3 linked regions of the Rhinolophus ferrumequinum genome follow. The protein of the gene in region 3 interacts with the protein of the main gene of each other region in a pairwise test. Links are inferred from orthologs where the notes say so. Each region holds a gene or a part of one and is shown on either strand. Other genes may lie near its edges.

Region 1 (8,042 bases), on a different chromosome or scaffold from region 3:
CTAATCCCACAAGAGTATCGGGACACCCAATCCTATCAGTCCATTGTTAAGACTGTTCCATTTCCAGCTTGCCCCAGGCATCTGCTTGCTAAAGAAAGCTCCTGGGCAGTGGACGTAGGCCTTTCCCAGCTGTGGTGGTTACACCTGAGAGGCTATGGGGGGATGCTGATAAGTGCCTCCTGGCCAAGAGATTAGTGACACAGAAACTGTTTACCTGTGCTGTCCAAAATTTAAATTTAAATTAATTAAAATTAAATAAAATCAAACATTTATTTTCTCAGCCACATTAACCACATTTCAAATGCTTAATAATTATAATGTGGCTAGGGACTAATAAATTGGACAATGCAGATACAAAACATTTCCATTAGCGATAAAATTTCTATTGTTCAGTGCTAGTTGGTATGTAAGAGAGTTTGGGGGATATTCCTTCCAGAAAGCATTTTGGCAAAAAAAATCAAAACCTTTATAATTGTTTATACCTCTAAGTGAACAATCCTGATTGGTAAAGGAAATAATTCTTGAACTATCTATCATCTATGAACAAAGACGCTCACTGTAGTGAAGTAGGAATATTTTTCTGTGAGTCCCCAAATGATGTAAATGATGCAGGATCTGCTGGCAGTTTCTGGGTGCGGGCCGGGATCGTGTCTTGTGAAGCCAAAGAATGGACACATGGACCAGGGTGAGGCAAAAAGTTGTAAAAAGAGGATAGTTTACGAGAGGCAGGAGAGAAGGTTGCAGCTCCCGAGTGGGAGGGGTTCCCGAATGGGGGTGCCGGTGACTGAGGCAAAAGGCTTTTACTTTTATACTTTCCCTTGCCTGCTTGGGGTAGGGGGCTGGAGCCTTCTAATAGAATTCATCTATTAGGTTTGTCCTGTTTGCTCATCCTCCCAGGGATTAATGAACCAGCCCATTCCTATCAGATCTGCTCCTTTGTCCGGCCAGAAGGGATTTGAGGTTATCTATTAACCTTAAGGTGTATTCTCATGTCTCTGTCCCGGAGTGAAGGAGACATTCCAGGGCCTGGAGTTTCAGGATATGGCTGCTTTTTTGTTTATTCCACTAGGGACCTCCCCGTCTACCGAGCAACCATACTAACTAACCTGTCTCAGTAGCATTATTTTTAATAACTATACCCACACATACACACAAAACCAGAAGCAATTCAAACACTCAACACTTGGGGTAAATAAATTATACCTCCAGAAATGGGAAGGCTATCTATTAAAAATTATGTTTTAAAAAGTTGAATGACATGGGGAAGTTCTTTTGATACCAGGAGAAATAATAGAAGTAAAAAATAAAAATAACTATACGATAGTCTTAACTATATTAAAACATATACAGTACAAGGTTTAAATATTTTTCTTTGTATCTTACTAAGTCTGACAATTAAGTTCTCAAACTTGCCACCATGCGCTTACATTGGCAGCACTGTACAAACAGCTCGGTAAGGTTTCATAGCCTTGGTATATCAGTGTCTCACTGCTGTGTTCGTGTGGACGTGTGGCGGTGTCTTGCTGAGTGGTGTTCATTATTGTTGCATGTTTCTGTGTGCCGTTGTGAGAATGTCTGAGATAAACCCTTCCTTCTCATACATATTATAATGTACTTTACGAAAGAACACCCTTTTCTGTAATTTATCTGATACAACTGCATAAAAAAAAAATCTCACTAAATTATGAAATATACAGTCAGCTTAGTGACTGTCCCAAGCATAAGTATATCTATAAACTGTGAACTCAGTATTCCAGGCTCTCCAGTGATCTTTCAGACAGGTCTTCCACCAGGTGTTCACCATTCCAGGCAGTACGGTCCACTTTCGCATCCCAAAACCTCGTTTATTTCTGGCTTTTTAATTTTCAGTTCATTCTATTGGCTCCACTTCCTCTGGCTCCTTCACTATCTAAACTATATCTTTCAGTCAGATTCCAAATCAAGGTTCCTTCATTTCCAGGTGAGTGGGAAAATCCAGCTCATAGGGCTTTTTATGGCACCCATCATAACTGACTTTACGTTATACTCTGCTTATGGAGGTGTCTTATCTTCTTGGTCAGGCTTCTCACTTCTTTGGTGTATCCCATTTACCTCGCTCTGAGCTCTCTAGGCAGTGACCCTTTTGATGACTTCAGGTAGGCAGGGGTTCTAGTTGACTATTCCAGTTTTCATTCCTCCTGATCTGGTGATGACTGGAATGAACAATGGCACAAAGTGGACGCAATGTTTGGCTCCACTGGAGTACAATGATGTCATGGCTTCATTTTGGAGCAAGGTTCTACCCAACAGGATGGCCTGGACACTGCTCCATGCGACAGTCACATCCCTAGGCTTGTTCCTTCAAGTACAGCCGTTCCTTTTCCCAGGGCAGAATGAGCCGTTGATCCAGGAGAGGGCATAAGCCACCAGCAAAGCTTTTGAAAATCTTTTGTTGTCTTAGCTTGGAGACTCTGGGGATTTAAAAACAAAAATGCAAACAGAAAGAAAAGTGACAAAATGTTTTCATATTTTCTTAAAAAGTGCTTTTTTGTGGTTGATGTTTTTATATGCTACATCGCTCTTGAAGATTATAAACCACACTCATAGCAATTTGCACTATTACCTTCCTTTGGAGTTTTCACAAATTTATTAAATAAAAGTTGCCCACATTTTGGTTGCATTAGCTGAAGTTTTAGCTCTTCCTGGCTTTAATTAGATGAGATCCCTTAATATTTAATATAAACTTTTTTAAATTGAAGTATAATTTGATCAAATAATGAGACTAGTTTGGCTGGAGTAGTCACACATGCTGTTATTATTTTTATTCTTTTTGTATTATTGTGTCTTAAAATATTTAGTGATAGTACTTGTCTTCACATTTCAAAATCTTTTCAGATATTTCTGCAACTTCTGGACATGCAGCAAAGCTGCTGGATATATCTTTTCTCATTTGACATATCTTTTATTCCTTTATGTATAAAATCATAAATAATCTCTCCATTCTGTATGGGAGAGGACGTTGTAAGGTTGCCATTTAAAGATCTTATATTATCTAGGCAGTGATAGTATTTTATTTTCTTAAATACTCAGAAAAACAAGTGGGCAAAAACTGTAGTCTTTTTTTTTTTCCACCATCTTGGACTGTCTCAAAACTGTAGTATTCAAAAAAAAAAAAAAAAAATCTTACTGTGTTTGTATGAGGTTAAAACTTGATAGCTGTTTTGTTTTTCCCAGAAGTAGAATTAGGTAATAATCTGGGAATTAAAACATGAGAGGGTTTCCAAGTACTCATTTTATTTTCAAATTTCCTTTTATCATTTGATGGCTGCAGGGAAGTATCTTATGCTCTGCATACCTTTTAATCTTGGAGTTTAGAGAATTGTTTTCGGGTGTTTTTTTTTCTTTCTACGTCCCACTCTTCACAAGGAAGCCAGAAGTGTGACAGGGAGGTGTGATTTTTAATTTACAGCAGAGTCGAGCAAATAATGACTTTTCACACCCTGCTCTAGCTGCTTACTTAGCCTAAGGGAGGAGTTCTGTGGCTATTGTTGTCTTAGCAAATTAAATCCACTGCTGTAATTCAGAAAGGCATTCTTCTGTACTTAACCCTTGTTTTCAATTTTGCAACTTGGTTTTTGTGAATACTTATGAGAATGTGGCTTATTACTTTGAAGTACACTTGTTTTATAGGAAATGATTTTTGAAGGCTGTTCTCTTTTCAACTTGTCAAGTATGAAAGGTAAATATGTTTTCCCTTTCCACCACTCTTGTGATGTTGGAAATTGTCCACTTATTCAAATACAAAGAAATGAAAAATACAAAATTTATTTTGAGAACTTCTAGCAAAAAAATTTAAATACATGATCTAATATTTTTTTATCTTTCGGTATGATTCCATTTCTCCAAGAGTCGCTTTCCCGTCTTTATAAAAGAGTCAGTGTCTCACTATACAAGTAAATCTACATCATCTTGGTTGAAAGATGAAATCGAAAGTAATATTAAAAGATTAAAATGTTTTACGATTTTTCAGTTTCTCCCCCATCCAAAAAGTAATTTGGGTTGAATTATAAACACACACACACACACACACACACACACACACGCACAGAATGAGCTGCCTCAAGGAAGTAGGAAAAAATTATTGAAACTGGTATGCTTGTTTTAAAATTTCTAAGTGATTATAGATGAGTGGTAGCATACAAAAACAACTGAATAATTAAAAAATACTTTAAACTCTGAATGCATGTCTTTCACTTATGATTAACATAGTTAATTATTTTCCCATTTTGAATCTGCCCAAATAAATTTTTTATAAAATGTTTTCAATCAACGTGCTAGTGTTTCCCAGTTATCTTACCAGCTATAATGGTGCTCAATAAAGTTCTAGAACTGAATGGAATATATAAGAGTATTATTGGAAGGAAGGAAAGAAAGATTCAGAGACATTTGAAAAATCTGGCTCCTGCTTCCTCCTCTTGCTAACCCAAAGTAATCAGAAGCAGCTACCAGCTCTGTCTCTTGGCTGAGCAGCACCAAGGGGTTAACCAGTCTTGGTTTACTGAGTGTCTCTGTCAGGCTTTTATCTGCTGCTTCCTCCCTTCCTCCCCTGCCTACCCCTTTTGTAAATGTCAACCACTTCCTGATGAGCCTAGTAGTGGTGAATTTCACACCTTTCTTTTCTTTGTGAAGAAACCTGGGTGTTAATGGTACAGGATTGGGTACCATTGTACATCTCTGGCTGTCTGTTAGTAAAGCTAAGGGATGCCTGTGGACAAAAAAGTAGGGGAAGGTGGAGAAATTTGAGAAATGAGACTAGGAAATAGGTTCAAATCGGTCTCATTTTTAAAGAGAGTATTTGTTCTGCTAGCAATTTTTAGATGTGTATTCAGAAAATAGTAATTTTAAAGAAGCTTAGTATTGAGAGTTTAAAAGAATTTGCTAAAGGAAAGAGATGAGATTAAAGAACTGACTGGTAAAAATATCAAATAAAATAAAACAAAAATCAGAAAGAAAACTGAAGAATCTTTCTCTTCTACAGGTGTATTTATTTACAGGATACAGCAATGGAAGCTTGGTCAGTTGATCAGGTCTGCAGTTGGTTGGTGGAGAAAAACTTAGGAGAACTAGTTCATAGGTTTCAAGGTGAGTTGTTTATACTTTTTAAAATGTTAATTGAGCTGCCAGTTATTGAGTGTCCTTTGTTATTGGTAATTGCTTTTGGTGCCTAATGCCTGTGAGTGTGGAGCTGCTGCAGTGGGGAACTTGCATTTCTTGACCGACTGGCAGAGTCTGCATTTGGCCTAGTATCGACAGGAGAATATATTTCAAAAAGAACTCAAATAAAGTAAAGTCTTAAGGGGGGGGAGGGTGAGGGGATTGGAGGGCAGTCGGTGACCACAGGATGGCCACGGTTTTGAAAATTAATCTGGGGAACGTAATTTGGTGGTTACCAGAAGGTAAAGGGGTTGGGGGGTGGGGGAGGAGGGTGAGGGGGATCAAATGTATGGTGATGGAAGGGGAGCTGACTCTGGGTGGTGAACACACAGTGTGATTTATGGATGATGTGATACAGAATTGCACACCTGAAATCTATGTAATTTTACTAACAATTGTCACCCCAATAAATTAAAAATAAATTTAAAAAAAAAAGAGTTACTTAAAATACATATTTCTTATCATTTGATACTACTTTTGTCCTTAAATAATGAAGCATGTGTTTTGTGCAGTGCTGGATTTCCAAGTAGTGAGTATTGCCTGGGAGGTGTTGTTAAGAATAATTTCTTGAGAATTTTTTTTTTCCGTATAAAAAATGATGCCAGTAAGAAAGAATCTGAAGGGCGAGGGATGGAAATAATGTGGAAGTAATAAGATTTTATTGTGACTCCATATTCTAGTTTTTTTCTTCGGAGCAGATATCGATTTAGAACTAGGCAATATCAGTGTTCTATCTTTGTCAAAAATACAGATAATTATATAACATCAGAGGATAAGTTTAGATGGTCCTTGTTACACCAGAAATATTTTTTTCTTGCTCAGAGTGCTGTGTTTTGCAATGCTTTAGCCAGACAGGCACGTAGAGACTCTTTTTTCTTTCATTTTCCCAGAGGAAGAAGTAAGTGGGGCCGCCCTTCTAGCACTTAATGATCGGATGGTTCAGCAATTGGTAAAAAAAATTGGGCACCAGGCAGTTCTGATGGGTTTAATTAAAAAATATAAGCAGAAGAGTCAAGGACTGAAGTTTCCTGGAAGCCCTCAAGAACCAGCCCTGCTCACGCAAGCAGCAGCAGCCCCAGAGTAAGTCGTTTCACGAGTGCCTTATCTTTGTTGCTGTGCTTTCCCAATCATGGCTATACCATGACATTAGAAAAGTGTGACAATTATCAGCTAGACTGTGTGTACAGTGTTTCTAACATCTGCATAAGGAACATTTCTTGCAAAGATTTATGAATCGCGATATGTATTTTTAATGCACCGCTTTGTAAACAGTGATGCCAATTGTTAGGGTAGTCCTATAAGCCTGGAGTTCCTATGTAGAAACTTCTGTAACAAGCAGTTGAAATGTACATACAACCTGAGTAGGAATGGATTTCTTCAGTTTGGTCTTAAAATCAGGATTTGGGAAAGGCATTTTTGCTGCTCTTTTGCTTTTCCCTAAACTCTTATTGTATTTATGTATGTGTTTATTTGCCAAGGATTCCTTATAATAACTAATTTGTATTCTCCTCTAGAGGCCTTCACATTATAATTTGCTGCAGGTCTTCACAGTATCATTTGCTAAAGACTCTTGATATAATGGGTTTTCAAATTTCTCGAGAGTATTCTCAGAATACTGAACGCTATGATAGCATCCCACAAAAGTCATGTAGAAAAATTTGTGGTCGCTTTGAGGTTTAGGGATGTTTTCATTTGTTTGTTTTTTTACCACTGACTTTTGCAATGATAACAGGAATTATAAAATTTCAATATTCACTTTACATATCTATGCCCCAGGATCAGTCCAGGCGTTCTGATTTGGTTATTCCATATTCTAGACTTTTGCAATTTTTCTAAGGTTAAATAATTGCTGAAGAATAATTGTTCATTAATCTTAAAAATACGATTGTGAGGTTTGATGAAATCTATTCTATGTATTTTTTTTTCAGATTACGTCTGTAATAATATATATATTTCTGTCTTGCTCTCTGATAAAGAACATAATATTAGAGAGACCTGGCTTAAGTAATTTGATTTCTAGAATATTTGGATGTATGGGACTTGGACGGGGCAGGTAGACTTGAAGGGATGGTCCATGGTTAGTCTGGAGATGATACATCCGATTTGTTTGAAGGATTTCTCCTAAACAGTGTTTTGACATACATATACAAAAGCACACTCTTCAATATGTGACTGTTGGTGAAGTTCCCATTGCATGTTTTTACTCCTTTCCAGCAAAGGGAGGATATGAACCTCAACGAAGCTCAAAGTAACTTCCCAAAAGTCTTGGATGAATCGGACTTTTGAGCTGAAGTTCTCTTCAGTTGAGTAGAATCTTGATATGGCCTTAAGCATAACTTAGAAGAAAACAGACCGTCTTGTTGCCACTGCAAAGCAGTTTATAATGTTCTCTAGTACAAGAGAACTAGCTGGACTGCCAAGAAATCTGGGCTGCGTTCCTGGTTCTACCACTGACGTGGATTGATTATGTTAAATGTTGACATTCCTGCTGCTTCATCTGTAGCTTGTGAAAAGTAATACAGTACCTAACTCCATGTTAATTCACACTAATGTTAGGAGTATCACAATCTTTAACAAAATCTCTTCTCCTTCTCCCAGACCAAAATAGTCTCTTATTAAATATTAAGCTTCGTTAACCTGATTAAGAAAGCTATTTTCAAATGTAGCCAAGACTTGGAACAATGGTTGTCCAGCAATTTATGAGGGAGGGTTTTTCACTCTACCCAGTAAGTAGCTGACTCATTTTAAGGATTGTTCTGGTATAAAACCACAATTACAGGTGGGCTTATTGGTTATATTTGTTTATTGTCAAATATATTTTCACTTGACAAGTATATTGTCATGAGGGA
Region 2 (7,579 bases), on a different chromosome or scaffold from region 3:
AAGCAAGCCAGAACTGCTGGTCCTACCTAGGCCAAACACACGTGTGGGGTGGGGAGGTGTTAAAAATTAAATTTGCTCCTTTTTGGTACAACCATCAAGTCTAAAACAGGGGTGATAGCTTCTGCCCAGTGCTAGAGCCAATGACTGAATTTTTCCATCACTAGCAAACTGTGCCAAACACTGGAAAACAACTTTTCCAGCATTAGAGAACATGTTCAGACATACTTCAATATTCCTAGTCCCTTTCCCCAGAAAAAGGCTCAGAAAAGTTGAGTAATTTGCCTGAGATCACACAGCAAATCAAGTTGCGATAGCCCCTAAGCTCATGTCTTGTTCTGAAGTCCATACCCTGTAAACATGTGAGAAAGCTGACAGAGATAAACGGGAAAAGCCCCCCCAGTCTCCCGGTGCTTCCACTGAGCAGGCAGCAGCTATGTTTTTTCCATTTAGCTGCCATCCTGGGTCAACATAGCAGTGATCAACCTTGGTGGTATGTTTTCTTGGGAGTGGGGGGTATGACTCCTTTTCTCAAACCTGGTCTTAATTCTGGTTCAGGGAAGTTCAGTATTTAATATCAAGCGTAGAGTTGTTGCTGTAACTGCCACAACCAGAATGAAGGTGTCACCAGAGAGAGAGACAGAGGTATGATATAGGGTGGAGGGGAATGAGCTTCTTCAAGCAGCTTTATCTACACAGACAGACACTGCAGCCCCCACTCCACAACCAGCTCACCTATCCTCATGAAGGGAACCGAACTGGGAAAATGAATGGAGCTGGCAGTTTACTAGAGCTGTCATAAGAGCTGGAGCATGAGGAGTTTCCAAGGCTGCCCCTCATGGACTCAGAGCGAGGGTCCCATCTGGTCAAGAAATCAGGGTTTTCTGGCCAGACTCAACTGAATCAACCCAGAATGAAGCTGAAGTCTGCAGCAGAAGGCTGGCCCCTACCCACATCAGCATTAAGGACACCCCTGTCCCTTTACCATCTCATTTAAAATAGGACCCACACCTGAGCACACAGGGTGGGCTCAGGGGTGACAGCTGGGCCAAGTGTCCTGTTACAGCCTAGCCAGCAGAGCTCATCTTTAGACATAAGGCTAGTCTCGAACCTCTGAAAAGGGCAGCAGCAGAACCAGAGGTCACATTTGAATAACTACTACAATTTTTTAAAGTACGCACAAAGAGTTAACTGTCCCCCTTCTCACCTCTCCCCAAGGAACACAAACAGGTAACACACACACACAGGTTAAGAGCACACTCACCTGCGCTCTGACTTCCTGACTCTGAGCCGCTCAGGCCAAATGAGGAATGTCATTGGCTTATTCTGGTGAGCTCCTTAGTGGCTGCTGCTATAGGATACAGGCTTTATTTAACATAACAGAGTTCTTTGCTCCCCTAGCAAGACCTTGCACCCCCTCTGGAGAAAATCTCTCTGAGGCATCAATTTCCAGGGTATCTAAGTTCCTTCCTCCGGCTGACATCATGTCGCTCAAGCTGGTGGGGAGCTGGCTTGAGAAGCCTGAGCGTGCAGTCCCTGTGGCAGCTCCAGCAAAGGTGCATTATTTATCCCAGCTGCTGTTTTAATTAATATAGAGACATATTCAATACAGCTCCATAATAGTCCCGGCAACCTCAGGCCAGGAAATAAACAACTCCCAGCTGCCTGTGATAGGCTCTTTCCGCTTCTGGTTCTAACTGCCGGCTCAGCATGTGTGCAACTTGAACCGAGGCCCCAAACCAGCCCAAGCACCAATCGGCCACCTGTCAGTTCTCCACCCTGGGGGTTGGTTCCGCAGGCAGGCAGGGATCTTCAAGCACTGGCTTAATCTCTGGCTCCACCTAACGGCAAGAAATCCACACTCCCCTTTCACAGATGGACAAACTGAGCTTCATCCAGGAAGGTCCCAAAAGGAGGAAACTAAAACAGCAAAGGAAACTAATGGTCCTCTGCTTGGCCTTCCACGCTGTCATTTTCTTCTCCTATCATCCTACAAGAGGGAAAGTGATGTCAACTTTTTAGTTAGCTTCTTGGATTTCTCCAGCCCTTTGTCTGAGAATAGTACTTCACACACATCATTCAAACAATCTCGGATGGGTGAGTCACTAGAATGTCTGCTGAATAATGAGGAATAAACAGAGGCCTGAAATGGAGCTGAACGACAGAGGCACAAATGGTACCTGACGTCCAGCCCAGTGTTCTGGCCCAACATCCTCTCTGACCTTTGCCTGGCTTCCCCATCACTTGTATCCTGTTAAAGCACTTCTGCGTTGAGCGGGAAAAGCTAAGTCACTGGCTAGGCTGGCCAGGGGAGGGTCTGTGCTCACCTTTAAATCCGGAGGCTTGCTTCGGGGACCCGGGTTTGGCGCCACCGCAGCGCCCATGTCCGAAGTTGGCCCGCCAGCAGAGTTAGCACCCGTGGCCTCCCCAGGCCGGAGTTCCGCGCCCGGCAGGTGGCAAACGGCATCTTCCAGGCCAGCTCCATCCTCCTCGCCTTGCTGTTGCTGCAGCTCATCCGATTTGCACCTCTTCATGATGTATGTGGGGCGGCCAGGGGATTCTGCCCTTCTAGAGCGCTGTCCTCGGGGAGACCGCACCCCCTTACACTCAAAAACGAGGCCCAGGGTCTAAATGATTAACGAGGAAAGGAATCGGCGGAAGACAATTTCTTGAATTAAAAAATAAATCTTTTTAAAGAAGGGGGAGGAAGGGGCGAGGAGGGGGAGCGTTGGTTACAGCTTGGAATAGTTCATTACGACCTGGGGAGCGAAGGCAGGGCACAGCCGAGGCTGGGCAGCAGGAGTCCTTGGGCAGTCATTGGAGCGGGAGGAGGAGGACGGTCCCTGGCCCCCGAACTTTCTGCTTCAGGGCATAGGCAGGACGGGGGAGCCTGGAGGCACAGCGCATCCCTCCGGGTTGCCCGGGCTCTGGGCGAGGCAGGGCAGGGGGCAGCCGGCCGGGCAGGTCCTCCGCGGCCGCCCTCAGCGCCGGCTGCGGCCCCCGGCCCTGCCCCTGGCCCCCGCCCCGCATGGGCCGGTCGCAGAGTCCGCCGCGAGCCCGGCCCCCTAGCTCCCCGCCCGCGCCCGGATCCCTGCGCCCAGCTCCCCACCCGCGCTCTGCCTGCTGCAAAGCAGCGGTCGCGGCCCCAGCCAGCGGCAAGCGCAACCTAACATGCCGGTAAGGGGAAGGCGAGGCAAGGAGGGAGTGACAACGGCAGTGGGCCAATGGGAAGCCCAGAGGGCCGAGGGGGCGTCGCGCGGCCACGTTTTAGGGTTGGTTGCGCCGCGTGAGCCCCCAGGAGAGGACTGGAGGACTGTGCTGCTGCGTGTTTGCGCTGCGGAGAGCGGCTGCCGAGTTGAGGCGGGGGCGGCGGGCCACCCGGGACCGGTATTAACAGATGCCGGAGGGACCCTCCCGGTAAAGGCACTCTCCGGATATCCTCCACCCACTCGTTTTATTTGGTGGGTAGGGGGCTCAGTAGGGATGCTTTCTCATCACTGCTTTTTTTGCTCTAACTTTTCAGTTCATGTTATACTATACATCCCTTCAATGAGGAAGACCCCATCCTTTCTAGGAAACATGGTCTGAAACACAAACTTTTGGCTATATTCAGCGCTACAAATGCAAAGGGTGGAGGTGTTCTTCTGCCCCATCTCTCCTTTCCCCACTTTAAGTAACTCCAGTATGAATCTTAGCTTGATGCTCAGAAATGACAAATTAAATATATTTGAATACAATAATGTGTGTGAAAGTTCCTTGCAAACTGTGAAGCAGCTCTTAAATAAGAAAGGGTATTAAATGGCAGGAGATTGAGACATATGACAGAGAAGGAAAAGAATGCAATCTCTTTTTCCCATAAATCTCAGCCAAATTGCACTGAGTAATCTGGAGGCAGAAGAGAACAAATACTGGGGTTATCAAAGTATGGAGCCTAATAATAACAACCCCCCCTGAGTGCCTACTGTATGCTTACTGGGGATAGGAGTTTTTGCCCATCCAGCAGCCTAAAACAGTGGTTCTCAAAGTGTGGTCCTGGGGCCAGCAGCATCAGCATCACCTGGAAACTTGATAGAAATGCAAATTATCAGACACCAGCCAGACCTACTGAATCAGAAATTGTAGGCCCAGAAATCTGTTTTAACAAGTCGTGCAGGTGATTCTGACACAAGCTAACATTTGAGAACCATTGGCCTAGACTGTAGTGAAGGAGCCATTAGTCAGTGAGTCACACAGTGATGATCTCTACAGCATTTTACAGTTTACCTATCTCTTTTACACCCATCATGCTATTCTAACCTCACTTCAGTCCTACTAGTCTGTGAGTTTCCTGACTCTGTTCTGTCTTTTTCCCATTCCAACCACTCATTTTGATGTGTATCCTAAAAGAGCCTAAATTGTTAAGAATTTACTTCAGTCAAGCAAGCTACTTTCTAAACTAGGCAGCTCCATTTTTAGAAGATGGGAATTGAAGATGGGCTGGAAATGTAGAACCACCCCCCACATCCACTACACAGTGTTAGACACAATGTAGAAACACAAGATATGAGCCTTAGCACTTTCAGTGGTGAGGGAAAGGCAGAATGCCTTGAAGAAGGAGGCAGAACTAGACAGAACCAGTGGGGGCAGATTCCCAGGTTGCAAGATGTCAGACAGGTGTCTGCTGCCTGACTGGCCTTGAGAAGTGGAGGAGCCCCACAGACTCCAGGCGAGTCTTGGGTATCAAGCAGTGGCCAGCAATGGTGAGCACATGTTTATGACCTGCCTCTAAGCTGAAAAAAGTGGAGGAAATCGGTGTGAAGATTTAAGGAAGTGGAGACCATTAAATTTTGACTTATGCCTCATTTCTATACTAGACTGAAGTTGGCCTCAAGTTTGGTTTTTATATTATGTATATATAGCATGATGGCCAAATTTCCTATTTGTGGCCATATTTAGCAAGGTATAATACAGGTCAATAAAATGTCTGTGGTGTGTTTCATGAAATCAGGTAATACTTTACATTCCATTTAGGAGAGGCAGACTCTCGTGGCCAGACTGCTAGGGACAAATCCTGGCTCTGCTCTCTACTGACCATTGGAGGCAAGTTGTCTAACCTCTTTATGCCCAAGATTCCTTATTTGGAAGTGGGAATACTGATGATACCTTAGACAACCTTAGAGGGTGTTGAGTAACATATGTAAGGTACTTAGACATTGCCTGGCACAGAATGAGGGCCATACCTATAATCAGAGATGTCATCCAGTTTCAAAAGCATCACACATTCCACTCCAATGGTTCTATCCTTGGGAATTCATTTAAATGTATCTCACCCATTACTGACTTTAACTGAGTGTCATATTATAGAACAAATTGCTGAGGAATTTGGGTGGGAAGTATATAGAGTTTGAAGCTGAGAGCACATTTTCATTAGCCATAGTAAATTCTTGAGTACCTAAGATAAACAGAATCTGAAAGGACTTTGGTTGAAATGTTGTTTAAAGGATCTGATCATTCTATTGTTTTAGGCTTCTTTGGAAAAATATAGGCACATACTATGTTTTGATGTTCAAGATAGGACAAAACGTTGCAGATTTACAATGCAAGAGATTACATTTGGTATGTAGGAGTAGGATTTTCCATTCTGCTTTGGCACCACTAGTTAATTACAAATAAATAACATGGTGCAGTAAGAAGGACACTGGTCTTGGGGTTAGAAATACATGTAAGAATTATGGTTCTGTTACTCCCTGTGTGTTCTTGGGCAACGAAATCACTCAACTTCTCTCACCCTTGGTTTTCTCATCTATAAGCGGGACTAATATTACCTATCCTCACATAGTTATTGTAAGGATTAAACTAGATAATGCATGTGAAAATGCTTGACGCATAGTGTGTGTGCCCAGTACACTTGAATGAAACAAAGTTAGTGAACAAACGTGTCTAACCCCCTGTCTGCCACATGAGAAAGGCAGAATTGTCCTACTAAACTTAATGCTATTTGTGGAAGGAAATCCCAGTTAGGCTAATGAAAGGGGGCACACCTGGTGGTATCAAATTTGTTAAACCAGTAAATTGTATAAACAAGGAAGGCAAAGATCAGGGTTGTGGAATCCTGTTCCCTTGTCAACAGCCAGTTCATTTAGCTTGATAAACTGATTAAGTTTTAATAATAGAGGATAAGTTGCCAAGATCAACAGGTAAGCAAGGAGTAGGTTTTGGGTTGTTGTTGTTTTGTAAAAGCAATTAAGTCTGAGAAATAAAAGCCTTCCTTTTGCCAATAGTAAGAGGCTTGTAAATTATCCAAGAAAATTGTTTCCTACTTTGTAGGAATTCTTAAAAAAAATTTTAAACATCAAATGAGTAGGTAGTTTTCAAAGAACTATTTTAACATACTACGTAGAGTGTTTTCCTTAGAAGGTGAAAGCACTCTCTAGAGAGACTAGATATAATAATTTGGATCACTGTATTTTGATACCAACATCATTAAATATACTCCTTTGTTAATGTGATTTTCCTCCCTTTCTTTTGGAGATTTCCACTTCCACTCAATGCTCTCCTTAAAAGAAATTGCGTTCTGCTGGATTAGGAGGAATAAACTATGCAAATAATCGTCAGGGAGATTGGTTAGATTGTTGATGATGTCACAATCCCACCACCAAAATACAGGCTTTTTATTGGCTATTGTAAGAGGCAGGCAGGACTGGGAGGGCTCTCCTTCACTCCTGAGTTGGAGCTAGCTCTGAGACTAAACAAATTTTATCCTGTTGTTTGCTTAAAATGTACTCAGAAGCATTTTTCATGTTATTACATTTTTCCATGTTACTCCATTTGCTACAACTTGGTCATATTTCCATTTTAAATGACTGTTTATCATTCTATCAGGTGAATATACCACAGTTTATTTAACCTCTAGCCACCTTATCCTTAGAGAATTGTTTCAATTTTTTGACTTCAGAAATAAAACTGTAATTACTATTTTTATTCAGAAATTGTATATATTATTCCTCCACAGCATAGAATCTCTGGTACCTGTCAATGTTTTAAAGGACTAAACGAAACAAACAAAGTGCCCCTCTAGTGACCATTTCTCTCACAACATCCCTAAGACCTGCATAGGAGACCCCAGGGTCTGTCTGACTCCGCACTGGTGAATCTCCTATTTGTACTACAAAAAGCTGGAAGTTCCTGCTTCTCATTTCAGGTAGGGTGCGTATTCCTCATTCTGCATGCTGTTCCTCCTCGGTAATCGGAGAAAAGTCACAATCATCGTGACCACGAACAGAGGAGGTTTGTGAGGCATAAACTTAAACCCTGATTGTACTGCTCTGTGTGAAAGCCTGGGGCTGCTAAAATGGCTGCTTTGTGTCCTTTCCCATCTGCATAGGGAATCCTTACAAACCTCTGGACAATCTGTTACTCAAAGCTAAAAATGCTAGACCTAAAAAAAATAAGAAAGAAGAGGAAAGAAAGCAAAAAAGAAAGAAAGAAAATAGCTTTGCTCAGAGAGAATCAGTTGTTTATTATTTTACTTCTGAAGATAAATATCAGTGTCAGTTCCATCTATTATTCTATATGGCACTTTTAGCTATAATAAGAGCAAGAA
Region 3 (7,078 bases):
GAGCAGATCTTTACAGAAATAAACAAAATGCAGAACAATAACATAGTATGTGCTATTATGAGGTAAGAAAAAAGTGCTTTAAAAAAACAAAAACCGGTTGACATCCTTGGATGACTTAGTTTCTTGTTAAGCCCTACTTTCCGAATAACTAAAGTAAAACATAAAACATCAAAACCATATAATCTTTCTGCTTTAATCCCCACAAGTTTCCTATTTTCAAGATACACAGTATATGCTGTATCTTCCAATAAACTGTTGGCTTTCAGGGGGAGGGTCTAGAGGAGTTGGGGGGGACTGGCAACAGGGAATGTCTTAGTCACTTTTCTCTCCTTAACAACATATGTAGCCAGGTATTCAATCATTATATGCTGAAGCAATACTCAACGTTAAGAATTTTTAAGGGAAGAATCAACTTTCTAATATAATTTAATAGACAGTTCAAAACACTGGGGGGACAATGAAAAGACATTCCTACCTCTCCTGATTTCCACTGGATTAGCACCTTTACTAATCTTCTCAAAGCCTTCCTTGGCAATAGAGCGTGCCAGTACAGTAGCAGTTGTGGTGCCATCCCCAGCCTCTTCATTTGTATTATTGGCAACATCCTGAACAAGTTTAGCGCCAATATTTTTATATTTATCTTTTAAGTCAATCGACTTTGCAACGGTCACACCATCTTTTGTAACTTTGGGACTCCCCCAACTCTGTTCAATAATCACTGTTCTTCCCTACAATTTCAGAGAAAAAAAAATGTGACAGAATCACACACTCAAAGTACTAGTTAGCTTAAAACAGAAAGAGCAGTTTTAATAATAGGGTAATTACTTGAAAGCCTCAACATGATTTTTTTTTTTTTAAATCAGATCTGCAGCATGAATCTCAAGGGCAAGTTCACTGATGTTCTAAGTTTACAGAAAAAATGACCTCTCTATTGCGAAGGGCACAACTCTGGATGAAGAATTATGTGAGATAAAAAAACCTAGAGACTAAAAGATGACATTTTATGAAACAAGAATACAGATAAAACAATACCAATTTGGTAGATTATAATGAAATTCCAGCTTATTCTTCACATAATTTCTAGTTAAGTTTTATCCAGTGTCAGCTATTTTGAAATTAATGCGAACACTTACTTTTAAACTTGCTTTGAAATATACTTATTAAAATACTAACAGCAATGCAAGCACAGTACTCTCTTCCAGGGTTGTTCGACATTAAATCTCAAACATGGTGCAGAGTATTGGCAGCTTTTGGATTTGAAACCAAGTAGCTATTTGGGAGGCATGCAAATGCCACATTTTATACAATTTGGATCACTTTGATATCTGAAATGTGCACAACCTTTGTCTTCCTCAAATTATTACCTTTCAACTCACCAATCTCTTCATGTTAAATGAGACTTAAAATTTTAAATGTGCTTTGGAACAGAAGGGACAGCAGAAAAACACTGGTAAAACTAGCACCTCCTGAGATATTATAGGAGATAAATTATATTCTTCCCTCTATGCTTGGTACTAACGGACTGGAGAAGAATCCAAAAGTTAACTCAAGTAGGCAAGCAAGATTAATTCTACCTTGAGTTTAAGGATCCACCTTGAGTTATGAGTTACCACTGGATTCTACGACACATTGTATAAAATCTCACAAATTTGGCAGAAGTTTAAGTTTTAAGGCCATTATATATACGCAAAAGAAAAAAAGATTAACCCATAATGTGGAACTCACATGTAAATTGGATTCTCTCAAAAAAGGATACCCACGTACTGTTCTATAGTTCAGTGTGACTATTTGCCATCAGTAAGTTATTCCCTAATTAGAGTACTATTATAAATTACAACAATAACAATACTGATACCTTTGGCCCCATAGTAACGGCTACAGCATCGGCTAAAAGGTCCACACCTTGAAGCATTAAGGCTCGGGCATCTGCACCAAACTTTACATCTTTGGCATACGCCCGAGTGAGATGAGGTGCCAGTGCCCTGGACACTGGCCTAATCTGGCGAAGGACTTCGTGTAATCGAAGCATTTCTGGGGAGGAGGAGAAACAAGCATTTATCATCAGTACAATAGTAGCATTACCCGAAGCAGGTTACAACACCTGTGCAACAGAACAAGAAATGTTAGCCGTGAGCTAGGTTGGCCTCTGCCACCCACCAAACCTGGGCCACAGAAGGCGCCCCAACTACAGACCACCAAGTACCAGCGCAAGCTTGCAAGGGCTGCCCCCACGCCTGACCTACCGCACTGGCAAAAGGCACACCCACCTTCTTGCTCCTGGCCACCTACCCCTGCCTCTCTAAACAAGTTAATCTTTTACCGCTAAAAGGGCCTTCAGAGCAAACCCATTCCAAACGTGCCCCTGAGAAAAGCCTGCAAGAAAGGGGCAGGTCATAAAAACGGTGGCCGGTGGAGTAAAAACATTCCTGACGGTGCAAAAATCTGCTGAGTAAAATGTGTCTTCATGTATCCAGTCGGGGTTACTGTATCTGAGCAGTCCGCCAGGCCCCGATGCTGGCGGCCGGGGCCCCACGTGTCTTTTCATCGAGACGCCCCGAGCAAGGTCAAGGGTGGAGGGGCCGAACCCCGCTGGGCCAAAGGCAGTCTCCACGCGGCTGGGACTACCTTCCCCGAATCTCTGCAGCCGGCCAGGAGTGGGCTGCATCGGAGGGCCCATGTGAATACACTCCCCAAATTCCACACACACTCCTGAGCAAGCCCTCCCTCCTACGCCCTGCCCCGGCGAGCGATCCCTGCCGCACGTGACGGGCTCCCGCATGGATCCGCGAGGCCTGGGCCAGCGGGCCATGGCCTCCGGCACTGGCGGGAAACTCGGGCTCTATCCCGCCGGCCCACTCAGGCAGGACCGCAGCGGGGGAAGGCCGGCGCCGGGTCCGAGGCGCCTGGGTGACATGATGCGGGGAGGCCGCATACCTGCGGGGCAGCAGCACGACGTGCGAGCGGCAAGGAAAGCCGTCGGCGGCGAGTGAGGGACAGAGTACAGGGCGCACACGGCAATGAGCTTGTGTCCCCTCCCTCCGCCGCTCCCCCGCCCCGCGGCACAGCGTGTGCGGGCGCCTCCCACCTCTTTCCCAGGCCCGGCCCGGCAATCAGCACGCGCTGCGCGCCAGCTCCGCCCCTCCCTCCCCGCGCCGGGCCGGGCCAGCGGGCTCAGCCCTCTCGAGCCGGCTTAAGCTAGTTCCCGGGCTACGCTCGGTTCCAGAACTTTCCGGGGAGCGACGCACTCTCTGTGGGTCAAGGGTCAAATAGCGTCATTTCCGGGAGGAGGCGAAGGGCTAGTACTTTCACCTCCGCAGGCGGCCTAGAAAAGCCTAGAAAGAGCTCCTCTTTTCTTCCGTCTCCCGGTCGTTGCGTCAGTGGCCTGCGCAGAGCCCCCGGGGACGAATCGCGGCGCGGGCCGCGGCGGCCGCCCTCTTTTAAGGGGAGGGGCGGGTGGCTGGAGCGAGCGCGCCTGCGCCCTGGGCAGCCTTTTCTAAAGTTCACGTGTCTCGAAAACCGGACTGCAGGTCTCTCCTTGCGGCCGCGGCGCGAGAGCAGAGTACGAACTGCTGCTGCCGGAGTCATGGTGAGTCCGCGTGGGCTGGTGCCTGGCGTGCCCGGATGGATCGGCCTGAGACAGTTCGCGTTGGGCCTAGTAGGAGGGATAGGGGGTCACCCAGGGGTCGGTATCCGCTCGAACCCTGGAGAAGCCAGGTCCTGTCGACCTTTTCCTCTGCCGAGGGTTCTTTGCACGCGCGTGTGCGGCGGGCGTGTAGGCTAGGGGGCGGGAACCCAGATGCACGCGCGGTGGCGGACCCGCTGTTCCTGCAGGGCCTGTGTAATGTAAAGAAAGCATGGCTTTAGGCGGAGAGATTGACCTCAGTGTGTGCTGAACATTTTCAGAAAAACCTAAGGAAGGAAAATACGTGACCTTGGAATAAGCTAAGGTTGACTGTAAAGCTCGTCTGGCTGCTGACCAGAGGAGTAACAATGACCCTTAACACACATAGGGAATTGGAAATTGACTTGGAATATAGAGCAGAAAGTTCAGAACGTTCAGTGGGTTTCGTGAACGAGTAATTGAGTTGGGCCGTTATCTTGGAAAGCCACATGCGGTGTTTGATAGCGTAATTTACGATGGCATTGCCTGTTCAGAATATAATCGCATATTCTTTTTGTTTCAAATCAAACATTTCTCTCTCTACAGGCAGGACAGGCATTTAGAAAGTTTCTCCCCCTCTTTGACCGAGTATTAGTTGAAAGGAGTGCTGCAGAAACTGTAACCAAGGGAGGCATTATGCTTCCAGAAAAATCTCAAGGAAAAGTATTGCAAGCAACAGTAGTAGCTGTTGGATCCGGCTCTAAAGGAAAGGTAAATGGGGGCTAAAATGAACTATTTTTTATGTGAAATGGACAGAAAAATAATTATTGGTTATTATTAAAAATAGCTTTTTAAGTAGCTTATTTTATTTTCACGATCATTCCCTAGTTCAATCACGTCTAATTGTCTCTTTAATGAAAATGATTGTAAAATTGCTTATTTTATATGATAGAGAATTCGAGGATATTAAAACTACAATTTATGCTTGAAGATAATTGTGGCGGCTTTTAAGAATTGAGGGGAAATTTGAATTCTTGGTCTAACTTCTAACTCTGAGATTGTGCTAGTCTTTTAACTACTTTCACCTTGCTTGGCATACCTATGAAAGGAACTGGTTGGACTACCCTCCCATATACTTTCCAATTAACTGGTTAGATCTCAGACCTCAAAGTGTCAGGCAGAATACACAATAAAATGTTGGGGTCAAATATGTTAATTGCTCCAGGTGCCTCAGAGAAACTTCTAGAAAGGAGCTATCCTGGAATCAAAAATAGAAAGCTTTTGGGGATTGGGCACAGTGCTTCCATCCCTCTCCCCAAATCTGTATTTTGGAGGAAAGGAAATGGAATCTCCAAAGAAGTATGTTTCAAATTCAGGAAATTTGAAAAAAAAAATTTGTATGCTGAAGTTAACCATGACCATGTACACATGGTTTTAAAAACTAGTTTATTTTACATAGTCCATAGGTTATGTTAATATTTAACCATTAAAAAATTAGCTTAAGTTAACTTGGCTTAAGTTAGCTTTCCCAGTATAACTCCTTGAACTTTTACACTGAAATCAGGTTTCAGTTTAAGCCACTGTGTAGGCATTATTTCAAAATGTAACTCTACAGTGATATTTTTGAGTTAAGAACTACAATTGTATAAATTATAACACTACCAAGTTCTTTAACAGTTGATTTGAGTGAGTACATTTGATTAATAGAAGTTAGCTGTAAATATTTGGTGAACTAGATGTCTTTGCTAATAAATATTCTTAATTTCTTAAGGGCGGAGAGATTCAACCAGTTAGCGTGAAAGTTGGAGATAAAGTTCTTCTTCCAGAATATGGAGGCACCAAAGTAGTTATAGATGACAAGGTGTGTAAACTTAATAGTTTTAAAAAAAAGTTAAGTATTTGCTTTTGTCTTTATTCTTAACTAACGGTTTCTCTATTTGCAGGACTATTTCTTGTTTAGAGATGGTGACATTCTTGGAAAGTATGTAGACTGAAATAAATCACTACTGACATGGCATCACGTGAAGCTGCCCATTCCACTGAAGTTCTGAAATCTCATCATGTAAATAATTTCCATGTCTCTTTTGTAATAAACTAATAATATCCAAAGTAATGACATCTAGTGTCTCTTAAAATTTAGTTCCACTGTACTGATACAAACATTTCCAAATAAAAATATACAAATAAATGGTTAATTTTTATTTAGTGATTTAAGATGGTTTTAGGGTTCTCTAGTTTATACTTTTTTGCTTTTTCTCAAGTAACCTGCAGCAAATTCTGGGAAACAAGGCTTTAATTTTCACACTGAATTTAGGTTGACTCCATAGGTAATTGATGCTGATACAAAGCCATGGATTTACACTTACTTTTTTTTTTTTTTTTTGAGAAGCAACAAGGAAATGAGATCCAAAAGAATAGCTGTAGCTGTTGAAGCTCTTGATGTAAGAAACAACCAAACCTGTAGAGAATTTTTGTAAGTGTTTTATTAGAGCCAAATTGATGACGTACACTTGGGAGCAAGATCTCAAATGTTCCCCACATGGTTAGTTTGCAGTTCCTTTTAGGCATTTGAGATTAAGGTGGGAACTGAGGAAGATTACATAAGGTGGGAGAAAGCAAGCTTTGGATTACAAGATAGTTAAGACTGCTCTCTTGAGGGTGGTCCACTTTAGAAGGGGGGGGGTCTGAAGAGAGGCATTTCAAAGATGTGTACCTACCTAGATGCATAGAAACAATGGACTGGGCTTGTTTAAAGATTAACCTTCTACTAAAGAAGATACATGCCTCAGACATGACTACTCACTATGGCCTGCCCAGTTAGGAATTTATGATTAGATCACTGTGAGGTTACTTTTAATAGAACCCCTTTTTTCATCCACAAAGCTACTCTACACTGCTTCAGATAAAAACCCACATAGTGTTCAATTAGGTGAAGGAAAGGTATTTATGAGAAAGGGAAGGGGAACAACTAACTGCATGAAAAGGGAATTTCTATAGGTGCGGATAAGCTAACAGTGATGCTAATTCTAAAGAATGTTCAGTCTGGCAGTCATGTCTGCTTTCTTGATAGCTTTGCAAACAGTTGTTTGGAATGCAGTGCTGCTTTAGGCTCAGTACAAAGGTTATTTTGCCCAGTTTTAACATTCCAAAGGTTTGAGGAGTAAGACTTCCAAAGCAGTTCCACTGGGGTGGCAGCTCGGACTTCAAAAAGTACTAGCTGTGTTTGTTATTTTTCACAATGTTACAGTACAATGCAAGTTGGTGGGAAGGGCATTGTTCCACACAATCATTTAGGGTCCCAGACTCCATCTTGGAGTCCGCTCCACAGAGTCAAAGGAAGTGTTTATGGTCCAGGTCTAGAGATGGAGCACTTCATTCCTCACTAGTGTTGATCAGGAAGTTCTAGACTGATTGGTTTAAAATTCTACTCTTGGGTGGTTGAATCATGACAACATCTCAAAGGTACACATTTTTTAA

Evidence for each region.
Region 1: the proteins of HSPD1 (region 3) and SAMD3 interact in binary tests that used the Homo sapiens proteins (3 or more experiments, as listed by UniProt). The two-hybrid records come from large-scale screens. The link is inferred for Rhinolophus ferrumequinum from reciprocal best matches to the Homo sapiens genes HSPD1 and SAMD3.
Region 2: the proteins of HSPD1 (region 3) and TMCC2 interact in a two-hybrid assay, tested with the Homo sapiens proteins (2 studies listed by BioGRID). The two-hybrid records come from large-scale screens. The link is inferred for Rhinolophus ferrumequinum from reciprocal best matches to the Homo sapiens genes HSPD1 and TMCC2.

What each region holds. Positions count from the first base shown.
Region 1 is NC_046286.1:77,949,244-77,957,285, reverse strand, and holds the start of SAMD3 (sterile alpha motif domain-containing protein 3), read left to right. Parts: upstream 1-4,987; 5' UTR 4,988-5,042; coding exon 5,043-5,121; intron 5,122-6,083; coding exon 6,084-6,273; intron 6,274-8,042.
Region 2 is NC_046305.1:25,953,549-25,961,127, forward strand, and holds the start of TMCC2 (transmembrane and coiled-coil domains protein 2), read right to left. Parts: upstream 3,009-7,579; 5' UTR 2,757-3,008; exon of another isoform or gene 2,625-2,756; 5' UTR 2,532-2,624; coding exon 2,325-2,531; intron 1,988-2,324; exon of another isoform or gene 1,262-1,987; intron 1-1,261.
Region 3 is NC_046291.1:33,113,415-33,120,492, reverse strand, and holds the start of HSPD1 (60 kDa heat shock protein, mitochondrial), read right to left. Parts: upstream 3,093-7,078; 5' UTR 2,935-3,092; intron 2,032-2,934; 5' UTR 2,030-2,031; coding exon 1,856-2,029; intron 729-1,855; coding exon 476-728; intron 1-475. Other genes in the region: MOB4 (MOB-like protein phocein), read left to right, coding at 3,584-3,586, 4,208-4,372, 5,373-5,462, 5,545-5,590. UniProt on the Homo sapiens protein: Chaperonin implicated in mitochondrial protein import and macromolecular assembly. Together with Hsp10, facilitates the correct folding of imported proteins.